Linked DNA regions of Saccharomyces cerevisiae S288C. The gene in region 3 interacts genetically with the main gene of each other region. Each region holds a gene or a part of one and is shown on either strand. Other genes may lie near its edges. The genes, in order: PTK1, CPR8, DMO2 and PAM17.

The links.
Region 1: mutations in DMO2 (region 3) and PTK1 together harm fitness more than expected from each alone (negative genetic interaction), as found in Saccharomyces cerevisiae (2 studies listed by BioGRID).
Region 2: mutations in DMO2 (region 3) and CPR8 together harm fitness more than expected from each alone (negative genetic interaction), as found in Saccharomyces cerevisiae (2 studies listed by BioGRID).
Region 4: mutations in DMO2 (region 3) and PAM17 impair growth when combined (synthetic growth defect), as found in Saccharomyces cerevisiae (2 studies listed by BioGRID, with this or other methods).

The regions. Positions count from the first base shown.
Region 1 is NC_001143.9:67,332-72,406, forward strand, and holds PTK1 (putative serine/threonine protein kinase PTK1), read right to left. Parts: upstream 2,890-5,075; coding exon 901-2,889; downstream 1-900. Other genes in the region: MNN4 (Mnn4p), read right to left, coding at 1-135; PEX1 (AAA family ATPase peroxin 1), read right to left, coding at 3,403-5,075. UniProt on the Saccharomyces cerevisiae protein: Essential determinant for low-affinity spermidine transport.
Region 2 is NC_001146.8:673,832-678,022, reverse strand, and holds CPR8 (peptidylprolyl isomerase family protein CPR8), read right to left. Parts: upstream 1,847-4,191; coding exon 920-1,846; downstream 1-919. Other genes in the region: ZNG1 (GTP-dependent zinc transferase), read left to right, coding at 1-824; putative pyridoxal kinase BUD17, read right to left, coding at 2,147-3,100; Sar family guanine nucleotide exchange factor SEC12, read left to right, coding at 3,334-4,191. UniProt on the Saccharomyces cerevisiae protein: PPIases accelerate the folding of proteins. It catalyzes the cis-trans isomerization of proline imidic peptide bonds in oligopeptides.
Region 3 is NC_001136.10:173,247-177,059, reverse strand, and holds DMO2 (Dmo2p), read left to right. Parts: upstream 1-2,471; coding exon 2,472-2,828; downstream 2,829-3,813. Other genes in the region: B-type cyclin CLB3, read right to left, coding at 1-287; CMR1 (Cmr1p), read right to left, coding at 574-2,142; mitogen-activated protein kinase kinase STE7, read right to left, coding at 3,032-3,813.
Region 4 is NC_001143.9:563,839-567,738, forward strand, and holds PAM17 (Pam17p), read right to left. Parts: upstream 2,055-3,900; coding exon 1,461-2,054; downstream 1-1,460. Other genes in the region: OAF3 (Oaf3p), read left to right, coding at 1-1,300; CCP1 (cytochrome-c peroxidase), read right to left, coding at 2,275-3,360. UniProt on the Saccharomyces cerevisiae protein: Component of the PAM complex, a complex required for the translocation of transit peptide-containing proteins from the inner membrane into the mitochondrial matrix in an ATP-dependent manner.

The DNA.
Region 1 (5,075 bases), on a different chromosome or scaffold from region 3:
TGACCAGATAAACGTTATAATGATGATCTGCAGTAGAATCAGTGGAAGGAGAATGCGCCTTAATGGGTAGTGCTTGACACGCAGCAGGCCAGATAAGAACCGCCTGTGAAGTTTAGATGATATTCGCTGAAGCATAACTAATTAGTTTATTTGTGTGAAGGAATAGTGACGTTGTGATGCGGTGAGTTCGGCGGTTAGGGGAATGGTATATGATAAAAAACGGAAACGTGCTTCTTTAATTTAATTGTTTAATATTGTTGCAGATATATAAAAAGGGGGAAAGAACCAAAGATGTAATTATTTCTTTATTGCCTCAACCTAAAGCAAGCAATAAGGTATAGAGATCAGGACGTCTCGAGAGCTGATATCAAATTTGAAGCCACGCAAGTAACTACGTAGGTCAGAGGGCACAAGGAATAACACGTGACATTTTTCTTTTTTCTTTTTTTTTTTTTTTTTTTTTTTTGTTAGTCTTGGCTTCTGTGCCGTAGTCTGTATACGGTTTTAGATGCGGTATGTTTATCATCGCCCAGAAATTTGCGGGGTGCAAAGAAATAAAATCCGTGCTGAAACCCGTGCTGAAATCCGTGCACCGCATCAAATTTTCTCGGAGGATTCTTTGCGCCGGTTTTCATTTTCTTCCACGGAATACCAAGCCCATTGCATCGCGATGTTAGTTTAGCGGAGTTTCTTGGCATTGGCAAATCTCTGCTAAATGCTGCGTACAGACGGAAACTCACACCGCCGCGAAGACTGGTCAGTGGCAAAAAAAAAATAAAAATATAGAAAATAACTATTACGTATGTTACTGTTTCTGGTAGTTGATATGAAGTTGGAGTTGTATATTGTACGCTTTAGGAACAGGGAAGTGAATATTATTTACTCTGCTGCACATTCTGGCTAGGTCGAAGCCGGAACTTGAGAAGACGCCGCGCTAGAACTATGGACCAAGCTGTTGACAATGTTCAGATGGTGATGCACTACCCTGTGCGGGGAGTGGCCACGGACGCGAGCGGAAGGTGCGGAAGGTGCGGAAGGTGCGGGAGTTGCGGGAGGTTCTTCGCTAAGCGTGAGGGTTGCTAGCTGGGGCGGCGGGGTTTCCCTAAGTGTAAATAAGGCCTCGGCTGGCACATGAGTCGCCGGAGGAGGCGGCGGAGGCGACGACGCTAAAACCGTGGCCGTTGGGGAAGGATGGGCGGCTATATCTACCATTGACCTGATGGGGACTCGGTTCTTAAGGAATGGGTTTGAGGTGGGTGTGGTTGCAGCAACATCTGTAGCGATATGGAAACCCCGCGGATTCTCGTACGTAGTGGTTTTGATAATAGGTTTCTTACACACATATTTGTCGTTGGCATCAACACAAGTCTCAATTCCTTGGAACCATGGGTCTTCGAAGAGGTCGTCGATGGTGTAGCGGGTGGCGGCTTCTGGGTCAGCGAGCCGCCATGCCACGCGAGATGCATGTCCGTTCTTGAAATTTCTAGCCAAGTGATACTCCATTCCCGGCCCCGGGCGGTAATTGCCGCGATTGCGGAATGCGCGATCGTGAAGACGGATAAAGTTTTCATAAGCGTCACAGTAATCGCGGAAACCAGTGTCGAAGCTGCAGGATTCCAAAAATGGAATGACGTTGTTGACGAGGGTCATGAGGATAATACCCAGGCCATAACAGTCTAGAGCGCGTGGGTCATACGGCTGTTGCAATTCCGTATCGTAGTGCTTCTTGGAGTCGTAGAACATGACCTCCGGGGGAGCATACGGCGGCGAGCCGATCATCCCTGCGCACTTCTTGACAGGGCTGGACAGGTCGTGTGGATCCGTGTGGTACCAGTCTGAGATACCAAAATCTGTCAGCTTGCACACGCCGTCCGGGGATAGCAGTACATTTTCCGGTTTCAAATCACGGTGGGCGATGCCCTGATCGTGGCAAAACTTGACACCACACGCCACCTGTTTGAATATACAAAACTTTTCTGCTAGGGCCACGCTGCGCCAGCCCGATTTTTGTATCATCGCGAACAAATCTCGTAGACCTAGCTCCATGACGAACCCCCACCCGCGAGTGGTGTAGACGGTGGTGGGCACCTTGACTAGAAGGAAAGTATTTGTGATGTGAACATGATGACTTAGCTGCTTTGCGATGATAAACTCCTTTGAGCAGCGCTTGTAGAATTTCTCGGGCGTTTCATTATAGATCATATTGAGCTTCTTTAGAGCAAATACGTCCTTCTTGCGGTACTTGGAGCGGATCTTGCGCACTTCGCACGAACCGCCCCATCCGATGGTCTTATTCTCATCATCAAAGACGAAGTTATCGCTCAACTGGATGCTTGCCTCCTTCATCTCGTCGGGCAGATACTCGTTTGGGTCCACAATTGGGATCGGCAGCATGCGGATTTTGGAATCCCCATCGTGAAGGTAGAAGCCCAGATCAGGGTCTTTCTTCATGGAGGTAGAGACGGACGAGAGTGACGTGCTTGGGGTTGAGACGCCGTATGGATTGTACACTAATCGTTCGCTACTGAACTTGGAGTTTGAGAGATTACGCGAAGTGGACGAATGTCTGTTTCCTCTTGAGATGGACGTGCTGGAGCCGGCCGGAGGTAGGATCTTGGTTGAGGCGGAAGATAAAGATCTCTTGCTGTTGGTTGTGTGAGCGAAAGAGTTTGCACGGCGAGAGGTTTTCAACGAATTCGGCAGTTTTGGGCTGGAGGATTCGCTGTCATTAGTACTTGTAGAGTGGAAGTCTGGAGGTAGAGACGCCTTTTTCTTCAACTTGTTCCCATGGCTTGAACTTAACAGCTTCTTTCCGAAGAACTTAAATGCTGATACCGAGGAGATTGGTTGTTGGGATATCTTCGTAGAATGATTGTGTGAGACTGTCATTGGTTGGTGGTGCGATTTAATGCGTATGCTTGCCTGTGGCGTTAAAATGGTCTATACGTTTATGCTAATATTTCTTGATGTAATGCAGGGCCTATGAATACATGGAGGTTTGTTGCCGGTGGTATACGGTTGAAAAAAAAAAGAAATAGATATATATATATTTCTTCTTTGTATAGACTTCTGCGAGAAAAAGAAAAGATAAGGAAAAATGAAAAAAAAAGCGTATAGGTGCTAAGAAGAATTAAGTATCAAAAGGTAGCAGGCATTTATGTTATATATGCAACTTCGGATTTCGTTCAATACATCTTGACCGGTCTCCACTGTTACTGGCATATTTCTCGGGTTTTTCCTTTTCACCACAAGGGAAAAAAAATGCGTTATGTAATTTCACCAATATTTTTCCCGTCCTGCGTGCTCGCACAATACAATAGGGTCATGTCACGTAATAAGCAACGTGCGCCGCATTTTTTGCCCTTTAAAGGGAAACGCGCTTTGTTCTTTTCTTCTTCCTTTTCACATAAGGGAGAGTCGGCTACCAATGTCGATGGAATTCTCACCATTGGGCATCTCACCGTTCCTATCCTTCTGGAACCTATCGTAAATCCCCCTTAATTTGACCAACTCACTTGTTGAAATACTAGGTTTTGTCTCTTGACAGGCTTCCAATAAATCGTTTATTGTGACCACAGCTGTCAGCTCAGAAGCAGCTGAAGTGCTTGTCTTTGTCTCGTGCACCACATCTTGCTGCAATAGAGTCTTTAGCCGTAGTCTATTTTCTTCTCTACGCCCGTGCTCATTGATACTGAAGTATTCTATATTATCATTGCCGGGTACCACTTCCGATTGGTCTGCAGCAGACAGCCACCTATGTACAGATTTCAAATAAGCATTGTAGCAGAGCCCCTGTAAATCAGCACCCGAAAAACCAGCTGTCTTTTCAGCGATCAACTTCAAGTCTGCATTTTTCTCCAATGCAAATTTTTTTTGTCCCGTATCCTTGTCTTTTGAATTGACGATAGCTTGCAAGATATCTAACCTCTCTGATTCAGTCGGTATATTACAGATCACACTTTTGTCTAATCTTCCCGGTCTTAACAATGCGCTATCAATCAAATCAGGTCTACTTGTAGCTGCTAGTATATATACACCATCAAGGCCCTCGGCACCATCCATTTGGGTCAATAATTGATTGACTACACGGTCTGTGACACCAGTGGAGTCATGCCCTCTCTTTGGCGCAATAGAATCGAACTCGTCAAAAAATAGAATACAGGGTTTGACGGACTGTGCCCTTTCAAACAATTCTCTTATGTTTTGTTCGCTGGCACCTATAAACTTGTTTAAAATCTCTGGTCCCTTAACGGAGATAAAGTTTAACCCACATTGTTGTGCCACGGCGCTCGCCAGAAGCGTTTTACCACAACCAGGATAACCGTAAAGCAAGATTCCTGATCTCAATCTTAGGGGACAATTAACGAAAATAGGCTCATATTTTGTGGGCCACTCTAAGGTTTCTAGAAGGACATCTTTGGCATTTGCTAAAGCACCAATATCCCCCCATTTGATGTTCGTTTCTTTTGTTAGCTTTACTCCACGCAACGCAGATGGTGTAAACGCACTAAGCGACTTCGAAAAAAGTTCCCTTGTTACAACATTATCACAATCTCTTTCCAACTGCAAGTCGTAGAAAATCTTTTCTGTGAATATTTCCAAATCTAGTGGCGAAAATCCTTCTGTCTCCAACGACAAATCACTGAATTGCAAATCTCGATTTAGTTTCATGATCTGGTTTTTCGAGAAAAAATACTCCAGTAACTTCGCTCTTGCATGTTTGTCAGGTGCTCTCAAAGACCACGTCTCTGAAACAAAATGCTTATCAAACAATAGCGGATTAATTTGAGTTTTCTGCTTGCCTGAAAATAAAACTCTGATTCGTTTATTATCCTTGTTAAATATCTTTGTCACCTGATTGATGAAAAAATTCAAAAGTTTGCTTGCATTATCCCATTGGCCATTATTAGAAGGATCTCCGTCATTGGCTTGAGGTTTTCCAAATAGAGCCTCAACGTTATCCAACACAATCAAAGAAGGACCATACCAATAACAAAAAGAACACCATTCCATAATTAATTTTTGGGTTTTATCTAAATTTGATGTCTCGTGCAATGTTTCACAATCCGCATATT
Region 2 (4,191 bases), on a different chromosome or scaffold from region 3:
CACCTGGTAAAATCGATTATATCCTTTTAGAGACCTCCGGTATTGCAGATCCCGCCCCCATTGCGAAAATGTTCTGGCAGGACGAAGGATTGAATAGCAGCGTTTACATTGACGGGATCATCACGGTTTTGGATTGTGAGCATATACTAAAATGCTTAGATGATATTTCCATCGATGCCCATTGGCATGGTGACAAAGTTGGTTTGGAGGGGAATCTGACTATTGCACACTTCCAACTAGCCATGGCTGATCGAATTATAATGAACAAATACGATACTATCGAACATTCACCAGAAATGGTCAAACAATTAAAAGAAAGAGTACGGGAAATAAATTCTATCGCACCGATGTTCTTCACCAAGTATAGTGATACGCCGATTCAAAATTTACTAGATATTCATGCATACGACAGTGTACGGATATCTGACATCTTAGATAGTGGTAGCGGAAACGGTACCATTCATGATGATCGAATGGGCACAATAATGCTTACTTTCAGACCATTAAAAAACGAGGAAGAATATAATAATAAGTTTATTAAGCAATTTTTGCAACCTTTATTGTGGAAGAATTTTGGAGCCATGACAGTGCTGGGAGGGCGTCGCCGAGATGACGGCCGTGATTGGGAAGTACAAAGAACTAAAGGTCTGATACTTATTGAAGGAGAGAACCCCATTGCTCGTGTAATCCAAGGCGTCCGCGACACCTACGATGTCTTTCCAGGCAAATATGACGGATCCAATAAAGAGTGTAAAATTGTGCTGATTGGGAAGTACCTAGAAAAGGAATCCATAGAGGAACTGTTACGTAAAACCCTGGAATGATGGTTGGCATAATAAAGACGAGGTAAGTTATGTATATTTATACGTATGTATGTGATACAAAATGAATGAATATTAAGCGGATGGATCGAAACATTTTAATCCTCTCTAATAGAAACTATTTTAGACGATCTGTTGAATATTCTTTTCCTGTACTTGGCCAAAACGTAGAAAAGTAACAATACCGAAATACCAAGCATAATCTTTGGTAAAGGATGGTGAAGCTGATTATATTTTGCGTCTTCTAACTTTCTTTGACTACCCTGGTATAAATAATTCTTCAATGTAATACCTTTCTCCAAATCGCCGTTTTGGTAATCTTGAAGCCTTTGTAAATACTTTTCGTGAGCTTCCTTTGCATGCTGAATCCTGTGTTCCTGGGATGAAATGTAACCTATTGTTATTGGTTGCTCTGGTTTGCCATTTTCGTCAGTTTTCACATTAGCTAGTTTATCCATCAGATCTTTTAACCCGGCGGTAACTTGGCCAAACACAACACTTTCACCTTCAAGTGGCGTCTCACTGGTCTCAATTATAAACTTAAGACCCTTATCGTCCTTAATCATGGAAACTCTGCCTGGCCTATCATGAATTAAACTATGATTTTCTTCCGGGAGTTTTGGAGCCAACATTTCCGTTTCTTCAATAGAGGAGGAAGAAACGGAGCTACCTTCTATAGCTCCATTCGGTAGAATTTTATCAAAATCGCGTTCTGGCGAGTAACTGTGACGGGAAGCAAGGCGATCTTTTACACTATCAACATACTGGCAAAAAGTCATTACTGTCTTGGGCACCATAGTCCCGTATAAGTCTATTGTTATGAGACGGCCGGCTTCTTCCGAACTTTCAGGATCTGTGAAAACAATTCCGATGTTTACATTATGTGTAATAGGAGGGTCTGGTGCGTATTTTTTCTTTAGGTCTAAGGAGTCTGAAGAAGCCCTTTTGTTATCCACAGGTAATGGCAGAGCCGTTATGCAACTAAACATGAATGCCACATAAAGATAAAGAAAAAAGCTCTTCATTGGGAACCAATGTATACAAATTGTAATAATCTTTCAATTGTGATACTGAATATGAATAGTCTTCTTTATTTATCTACTGCAGTAGTTGATTCTATATATTCTATATATTCTATATTTTTCTTCTATTTTTTTAAATATTTTTTTTCCAATCAAATTGAAAGACCCAAAGAAGGATCGATCTTCTCCAAAGGGACGCGTCGTGTGCCTACAGTTTCCAAATCAGGAATGTATTTTCCTATTTAGGCAGGTTCCTGCAGCAGCCGCACCCCAATGAGGAAGGAGCATACCGTTTCGTAAGAATCATATTTTAATGGTTTTTGGCTTGCCAATGGAGGGTATGAGATCTTGCTTTAGGATGTCTCTACACTGAATCAGCTTTAAATCCTTGATATCTATCGTGGAATCTTGTGGGCCCCGCTCAGCTATGTTTAAATCATACGTTTTTTGTAGGATACTGGTGACGAGCCACAGCACTTGGCCCAAGGATGCGCTTAATGACAGCTGTGTGCAGCGGCGGTCGCCTAGTAACGAGTCAGTGAGCATGGCGCTGATTAAATCACCACTTCCACTAAATTTTGCGTTGATCTTGGGGATTTCATAGAAGAATATCTCTTCACTGGCCGAGCAATCAAACCCTGCTACTACGTAAGTGTCGTTGCTCAGGAATTCAGATAATTCCAGACTAGTGACAACTATTCGGCTTACTCGAGGGTACTTTTTATGAAATAGTTTAAATGCCTGCTTAGCGTCGTCTAAGGTACGAATTGACATCCCCACCAACAGTTCCATTTCAAACTGATTTGGTGTGGCCAAAAAAATTTTGAAGTTTTGTAAAATGTCTTGGTATACCGCAACACATTCTCGATCCACGTACAGCCTTCCATTATCGCCCAGTACAGGATCTAATATCCACTTGACGTTTTCACTCCCCTCACATAATTGACCCACTATTCCTGCTACCTTTTGCAGGGCTTGAACATTGGGTAAATAGCCACTAAGTACGGCATCATACTTGATTCTAAGAGACCCAATCAAGCCCTTCTCTACAATGTCTACCAACTCCTCAGTGCTGCATTTGAAGCCTGTGAAGTGGGCGTACCCCGAGTGGTTAGAAAACTGAACTGTGTTCAATACGTCCACATCCCAACCTCTGTATTGAAGTGGGAACGTAGCGGCCTTGTTTCCCACGTAGCCATGTATGACGTGTGATTGAATGGAGAGCACTTTTTTTGTCGTATGTAATGTACTGGTCATTGGCACCACCCTCACACAGGCATGTATTCAACCTTCCACTGCGTCTGGTCTAATTTCTCAAAGCTAGTTATTATCTTTATCTTGAATGGTGATGACAATAGAGTAAGAATGAGGGAAAAAAGAAAAGTTGAAAAAAAAAAAATCCAAAAAATTCAAAAACGTGTACAGAAACCTAGAAGGATACGTGATAGAAATACAGATATATAACAAGGTTGAGATACAATCGAGCCACTATGAAGTTCGTGACAGCTAGTTATAACGTCGGGTATCCTGCGTACGGTGCAAAATTTTTGAATAACGACACATTACTTGTGGCAGGCGGTGGAGGAGAAGGAAACAATGGCATACCAAACAAGCTGACGGTCTTGCGCGTGGATCCTACCAAAGATACTGAGAAGGAACAGTTTCATATATTGAGCGAGTTTGCATTGGAAGACAACGACGACTCTCCTACTGCAATTGACGCTTCCAAGGGTATCATTTTGGTTGGCTGCAATGAAAATAGCACTAAGATTACCCAAGGTAAAGGTAATAAGCACTTGAGAAAATTTAAATACGATAAAGTGAATGATCAATTGGAGTTCCTCACTAGTGTAGACTTTGACGCATCTACAAATGCGGATGACTACACGAAGCTGGTTTATATTTCACGAGAAGGTACCGTTGCAGCTATCGCATCATCTAAAGTACCTGCTATAATGAGAATCATTGACCCGAGCGACTTGACAGAGAAGTTTGAGATCGAGACTAGGGGTGAAGTAAAGGATTTACACTTTTCCACTGATGGTAAGGTTGTTGCTTATATCACCGGTTCTAGCTTGGAAGTGATTTCAACAGTGACTGGAAGTTGCATTGCTAGGAAAACAGATTTTGATAAGAATTGGAGTTTATCTAAAATAAACTTCATAGCCGATGACACAGTATTGATAGCAGCCTCTTTAAAAAAAGGGAAAGGTATTGTGCTGACCAAAATAAGCATCAAATCAGGAAACACTTCCGTATTAAGATCCAAACAAGTGACAAACAGATTCAAAGGGATTACTTCTATGGATGTCGACATGAAGGGTGAATTGGCGGTACTGGCAAGTAAT
Region 3 (3,813 bases):
GCTTCTTTTCTCTGTGCAACACTATTCGCATCCAGCCTTTCTTCCTCAATTATCGCAGCTGAATCCAATCTTTCTTTAATTGGGGCGACTTTTGGCTTACTTATGCTGTTGTTGCTAGAGTTTGTCGCAACTATATTGGTAACGTCGCTAAGTGCGACCCTCGGGTGCGCAGATGAAATATGACTGAGGGATCCAGTCCTGTGTTTAAGATTACCTATAGGTGCCACATTTTCATCCTCGGGGCTCCTGATGTGTCCAGAGCTCAAAGACTGTGAGTTATGATGCATTTATAATAAGCAATGATAAAAAGGACAAAATATCTCTATGTTTTAAAGCGAAGGACAGAAACAATAAATAGCTTTTTCTCTGCAATTTTCTTTTCTTTTCTTCTAAGCAAGCAGCTAAAAATTTCTGATCGTTTTCTTTCGACCGGATCAAAAATGTTTTTATGTGTCCATGTTCTTGCATTTCAATATTTTTGTTTTCTTTTGTTTTGTTTTGTTCCTTCGCTTGTCGCCTCGTTCTGCTGAAAAGCGGGAGAGAAAAAAGGCAGTGCGGGTAACTGAGATGTTTTCATTCTTCCTGCTTTATGGTTCCGGAGTCATCAGTAAAGAGGAATATTTTGCCGCTAGAATTACCACCTGCAATCCAGTTTCGCAGCGGGTGCCAACTAATTACAGCTGGGACAGTAGCTGTGGGTAGGTGAGCCAGTTGCTGGCCTTCGCTGTTGTATATGTCGATGGCGCGCTTCATGTTAGCTATTGCAAAAACATTCTTGTTCGGCTTGAACCTGGCCTTGAGGATGCTTGTCCATCTTCCTGTTTGGCAATTGTGCTGAATCGTTAGTTTGGGCTCCAACTTCGCAGAAAGGTGATCCCTACTCTTGACATCGAATAAGCGGATGGTATCGTCATAGCCATTGCACACTAAGGTGCCATCTGTCGGTGAGTAAGAAACTGCAGAGACGCTCAATCTTGAGTCATATGTGGAGACAATTTCATGACTGGGATAGTCTTCATATTGTGACCACTCTGGCTTTTTAACAAGGTTTCTTGTATCCCAGATTTTGAGTGTTCTATCAAGTGATCCGGTGGCAATCTCGTAGGGTCTCATGGGATTTATTGCCATAGACCCGATCTTCTTGTCTGCGAGTCTTCGCAGATTATACTCTGATTTTTTTACTCTTGTGTCAAACGTGGTGAATTCACCACCTAATGTGGTGAGGAATAAAACATTTGGGTTTTCGTAGCTAAACTGGCAATCGCTGATACCCAGTGAATCGTCATATTCATTTTTCAAGGTGAGAACCTCTTCACTCTGTAAGTTATTCAAGTGAACTGACCTGATGCTTCCGTCGTAAGAGGTGAGCAATATCTTCGATGTGTCCGCAGGGAAGCAATCAATACGGCCGACGTTTTTGGTAAATAGTTTCACTCTGGTGATATCGGGTTCTTCCATTCGGTCCTCTTCGCTGTCAGCTAGTGGTTCATCTCTAACGTTCCAAAAACCCACAGTACCGCTTGTATCACCTGCAATTATTAGCTTTTTTTCCATAGCAGGATGGAAGTAAGTGGCAGAGATTCTTTCGTATGTAATCTTAATTTCGTTCGGTTGAAAAACGTCATATAGATCCAAATCAAATTCGTCCATCCCCGTAACGTCACCCTGTCTCTTTTTTATTTCTTCAAAGAAATCACCAGAAGAAAAGTTTCCGTTATTAAACCTCTTGAATTTCTCTAAAAGGGCACTTTCGTCTTCATCCTTGATCAGATCACTTAATTTCACATCTCCTATTACAGGTTTCTCCTTTATTGCGTCTATAAAATTCTTATCCTGGCCATCTGGAGAACCCATTTTAAGCAACTGATTATCGTTCACATTGGGTATTCCTTTCACATCGTCTGCAGACTCACCCCTTAGCCTTCTTGATCTTCGTGTAGGTAAAGTGGGACTCGCAGACTTGGTTGCTCTGGTATTAGTTGTTTTTTGTTTCTTTTTTGCAGGAGCTCTAGATTTTTCCAACACCCCAGCCTCGTGCTTAATTTGAGATGCTACTCCAGACAAATGGAGTTTTTTCAATAAATCGTTATTCCTTTTGATGTTCTCTAAACGTTTTTTCTGAAATTCTGTTAATTCCGGCATTCTTGACTGAAAAGCAGCTTTCTTTTAATTGCCGTACTAAAATAGATCGCCTATTGTGTACTATTGACGACAAATGCAAGATTAAAGGGTTTTTATCTTCTCTTTAACAATTGTTCAAATATACATTTACCTCTTTTGGCGTTATTATAATTGTAACATGTCAGAAATTGAACATTAACAAAAAACGCGTAATATGGGGTCCTCGGGTGAAAAATTAACGATGGGCTTTTGAAAAAAGGTACGAGCATATAAAGCGAGTACAGTCATTGTGTGCCACCAAGTAGGAAACAAAACACCGCTTAGAGAGAAACAGCAAGTGGTGAAAAACAATGAGTAATATTTTGGCAGTGTTCAACCCTCCACCACAAAGGGAGCTGGAAAAAGAAGAGACTATGGATTGCGTTCCTTGTCAAGTCATGAGCACTATGTTTTCTGTTGGATTTGGCTCATACTTGGCATCTGGGAAACCATTCAAGTATGGTAAAAAAGAAGCCAAAAGAGGCATTTCTCTGACTGAATTTGAAAAAAGAAACCCACAATGGTGGAAAGTAACTTTACGTAGCTTCGGTGGGTTATTAATCGCCTTCGGTTTCGTTAGAGGAACCGAAGGTTGGTTGTGGCATAAAAATAAAGAATATAAGAACTATAAGAAATTAAGTAACGATGGTGAAACACAGGCTAACTAGTATTATTCGCAAGCTTCTCTCAATCGTGAAATTTTCTGTACATAAAGTGCTACTTTGATGATTATTTTTAAAAATATTGTTACATTAGAAAATTGGTTTGTGATTTACATAATCAGGAGAGTCTATATATATATGAATATAGCTTTGAGAAAGGGATGTGAAAAAAAGTGCAATATGTTCCTAACTAATGTTATCGCATGCATTCAATGGGTTGATCTTTCCGATTGTTTCTTTTCTAACTTGGCACGGTCCAAGGCTTCTCTTTTAATTCTCTTGTCTTCCTTTATTTTAGATTTTATTTTTCTACACCAATGTCTAAATTTATCATCTTTAGACGGTGATACGTATTTCATTATAAGATCATGATGTAGCAATTCATGAATCGATGACCTTTCCCTTTCATTCTTAATACAACACCTATTGACAAAATCTGTCATTTCCTTGGAATAGATACGGTCTTTGGGTAATCTTGGTGAAGGCTCGTTGACAATACGTTGCAGCAAATCCAATATGCCATCAGGTGTATCGTTATGCCCACCTAGGGGAAACTCTCCAGTTACCAGCTCGATGATCATTAAGCCCAATGACCAAACGTCCCCTTTGATAGAATAAACGTTTCCTTGTATCCTCTCTGGTGACATATAAGTGGACGTTCCAACAAATGTATCAGCGATAGAATTTATTAGTTTTTTGGAAACTCCAAAATCACATAACTTAATCTGCCCCTTACTATTAATCAGAACATTGGAAGGCTTGATATCACGATGAATGATCTTATATTGTCGGTACAAATGATCCAAGCCATTTAGTACGCCATACGCTATTTTTGATATTGTTAATTCGTTGAACCAGGTTTTCTTACTCGAAACAGTCCCTCTTTGAACAAACCTTTTATAAACGGACAGTATTTTATCTAAAGAACCACAATCAGAGTATTCCATTAAAATTATGATTTCATTATTTATATGCTGGTTATAATAAGCTC
Region 4 (3,900 bases), on a different chromosome or scaffold from region 3:
ATACGATATAATGAAACCTAGCGATTACATTTCAGTTTTCAGAAAGATATGGAGTTATGTTTTATTTTGGGACAGGAAGATGTGTTTTATTAGCGGTGAAGAATGTCAAATTGGGAAAACCTTGCAGTGCCATTTCAAAGAAGAAGCAGATACACCCACATGGTATATACGAATGTTAACCCTGGATAACTTGATGAAAAAGATAAACGATACGTTGAACGATGATCCAGGAAAGGTAGATTTGAACTTGTTGCACCGACTAATAAATGATTTAAAAAGAAACTTTCATATTTTAAAAAGCCTGTCGAAAAACGAAAAAGAAACAATGCGTCATTTTGATTTCGAAATGGAATGGATAATAGATTTATTCTCACTAAGTTTGCTGCACGGAGAAATGATCTTTTATGAATATGACTGCAATATTACAAAATTTTATAAGAGTTTCCAAGATTTGTGGGATATGGTCATTCATATCTCAGAGAAGTGCTACAATTACTTTTTTAACAGTGATGCCTTAGAGGTGGATTCATTGACAAAGTTTTATACCAATAGAATCGTGGAAATTGTCGCAAACAAAGTTTTGGTCATTGTTCCGGCATTCATTCTCAGAGGAGACCGCTTCAAAACAATTCAGTACGCCGACAAGAAGAAAATGATAGAATTTCTTTACGGGGTCTCGTCTGTGTATTTTAACGAATTTGGCTTTGAGTACTATCGTTGTTTTAGAAAAATGTTCACCGCTAAAATTGCCTACAAGATCTTGAATCGCTCATGTGAAAAAGATGCATGGAGAATTATTTTAAAATTTTTGCTGAATGAATTGAAACTAGAAGATAACGGTGATAGTTATATAGATTACAACGATATGAGATTAAATGACATCTGTCCAATAATACTAGAATTTCAGGAGACAGTACAAAAATATGATGGGTATAGGCCAGATATTCTAAGTATATGGAACAATGAGTTTTATCCCATAGGTAAATACAACGATGATATGACAGGATTTAAGTTTCAAATGCGCATAAAGGAAATGCAAGAATTCTTGGATATGGAGAAATATTCCGACAGGTTTAATATTTTTTCATCCTTTTATGATCACGCCAGTTCACAATTAGCTAAACATACTGAAGTTGATACCAACATAAGCATTACGAATGAACAAGTAGCTGAAATTCCGCAAAAAGAACTACTACAACAACCTTTAGCACCCGCTTTGCCTGTTAATGATTTAATTGTCTCAGAGTTTGACGTGATTGAAGATATTTTTGATCCTGTGGATTTCGTATCATTTTTTTAAAGTCAGAGATAAAAGAGACGTATAGGACATATACAATATTCATACCTTTCACTTCCTCCCTATTTCATTCGAATTATTTAGTAGCGTTATATATCGCACTACTTTATTCATATATGTATATATACAGAGTCTGAGAAGAAGGAAAAGATCACACGTTCAATCACAAAAATTCTTTGGCTTTCTTTGCGTAAGCGTGACAATCTCTTAACCATTGCTTATATTCCTTTAAGGAACCTATCTTTTCACCGTAATAATCTGGAACAGGATTACTGAAACTTTGAGAAGAGGCATCGACCCTGTTATTGATGATATGTTTTAGAAACTCTTTATTTTTGTTGTTGAACTGTGCCAATTGTTGGTTATGGGAAAGTTTGAAAACTTGCGAACCAACTATCGGACCCAACAAGTAGCCTAGTGCACCAGAGGCTATTATCCCAGCTGAAATTACAGTTAATGGGTCGAATCCGAATAGCATTTGAGTCGGGTCTATTTCCATTGTGGAAAGGTAAGCCCATGAAACGTTACAGCCCAAAAGAGCAGTAAACAGCGAAGAACCAACATTGATTCTACGCTGCTGTTTCCTCAATTTGAAAAAATCAGACCATGTCAAGATACTGGAGTCTTGAAGGGATGCGGGCTGAGAATATGATCTTAAGGGTAAGGTTGTAGCAGTCGAGCGCAATGCCGCAGCGGTGACAGAAGGTTGACTAGCGAACAGTCTTTGCGATGACAATCTAATGGCACTGGTAAACATTTTGAAGAGGCGGACAATGTTTTCTGAATGTTTTTAACACTTCTTTGAACATAGTTTCCCTTATGATATACCATTGTATGGCTTTCCATTTTTCATAGACGTACCGTACAAACGTATTAGATGATATTCAGAAAAAAGCATAAGCCTAAATAATAATAAATATAATAAATAGATAAATAATACGAAATATAACCAATAAATAATATCTTTCCTCAGTGACCTATAAACCTTGTTCCTCTAAAGTCTTGAAAATAAATGGACTGGGCGCGTCTTTAGGGAAAGTGATACCGTTCTCCAACAGTTTTTCAAAAGCTTTGGAAAAATCCTTGAAGAACTTGTCCTGGTCATTAGCGTATTCTTTCACAATGCTTAAGTACTTGGGATCCTGAATCAAAGAATAATCAGTGGGCAGCATCATGTAGCCGCTCTTAGAGTCCCACTGTTCGTTGTTCGCGTCGTTCTTTTCCAATTTCCAGTCTTCATTCAGCAAGTTCAAGTAAAACTCATTGGTAAAGACGTTGTTAGCGGCTCCCCATGGCCCTTCGTATCCAGAGTTCTTCAAGTGGGTCTTGCCCAGAGCGTGAGCCCCCATAAGAGCAACTACTTCTCTGTCATTCATATTAAGTCTTTGAAAAAATGTTCTGACATAGTCAGCGTCTTTATCAGCGTCAGGCAGTCTCCCGTTGTCAGGGGTAGTATCCTCTGGCGTGTCGACTCTACCACATCTCCATGGAATCTTGGGACCCTGCATTTCCTGCACGGCAGTGACACCCCCTAGACTGAACAGATCACCCGAGGAGATCCAGGGAAACTCTTTGTGAATGGGCTCCAGGAACTTGAAGCCATTCTGCAAGCCCGCATTGGATGGATCGTTAAACTCCTTTTTGAATCTGTATGTACCACCGTATGACCCGCCTGTATTGTCGTGCTTGTCCCAGGTCCCTGAAGTGTGCCAAGCAAGACGGACTAATACGGGCCCATAGCCTATATAGTTGTCATATTCGTCATCTTCCCTCAGCTTGAGTGCAATCGCATTGTACACCTTTTGGAAGTCCTCGTATGACCTCCCTTTTTCGACAGAGGCGACATGAACGAGCGGTGTAGTGGAAGCCAAAGCAGCTGCCTTCCCCCAGTTGTTCCATCCGTGGTTACTACCACCCCCGGGAGAAGACGATGATCTCTTTTGGGATTGCGAGTAAGCAAAAGTTGCAGCAGCAGCAGCAGCAGCAGCAGCGGAGAACAGGTAGAGAGACCTCTTATGGGCGGTTCTGCCCAGTGAAGGTAAAAGCCTAACAGCAGTAGTCATAATTGTAGATATACGTGTGTGTTTGCGTCTGCATGAATGCGAAATTCATGTTCTTGAGTTAGCGAGCGTGTACAATAGTCTCTGCTTAAGTACTTTTCGCTCCAGGGTCCTTTCCTAAATTGGTAACAGCCGGCTTGGGCCGGCCCCTGGATGCCAAGAGAGTCATATTACTCAGTACTCAGGACCAAATAACTCATCGCTGTCGTTGGTAAAGAAAACTACAAATCTGGGCCTGACCATGGTTTACGAAATTCCTGACAAAGCAGGATATTCTTTGGCTTTGGAATTTCCATTGGCGAGATCTAGCTGCGGGAGAAATCATCCCGACATTATGTAAGCTACATAGGTCGCTGAAGTGTAGTCGCCACACGGCAGCGCTAAATGATAACTAGTAATTGGTGTGGAGCGACCACATTTTCGCATCGATCCAAGCTCGTCTTTTGGCTTTCTTGGCTATTCTTACTAGTTATATTGAATTATTACAGCTCTTGCTGGAACACCAGTAACCCGCCGTTGCTCCGCATTTTCGAAGTAAATGGC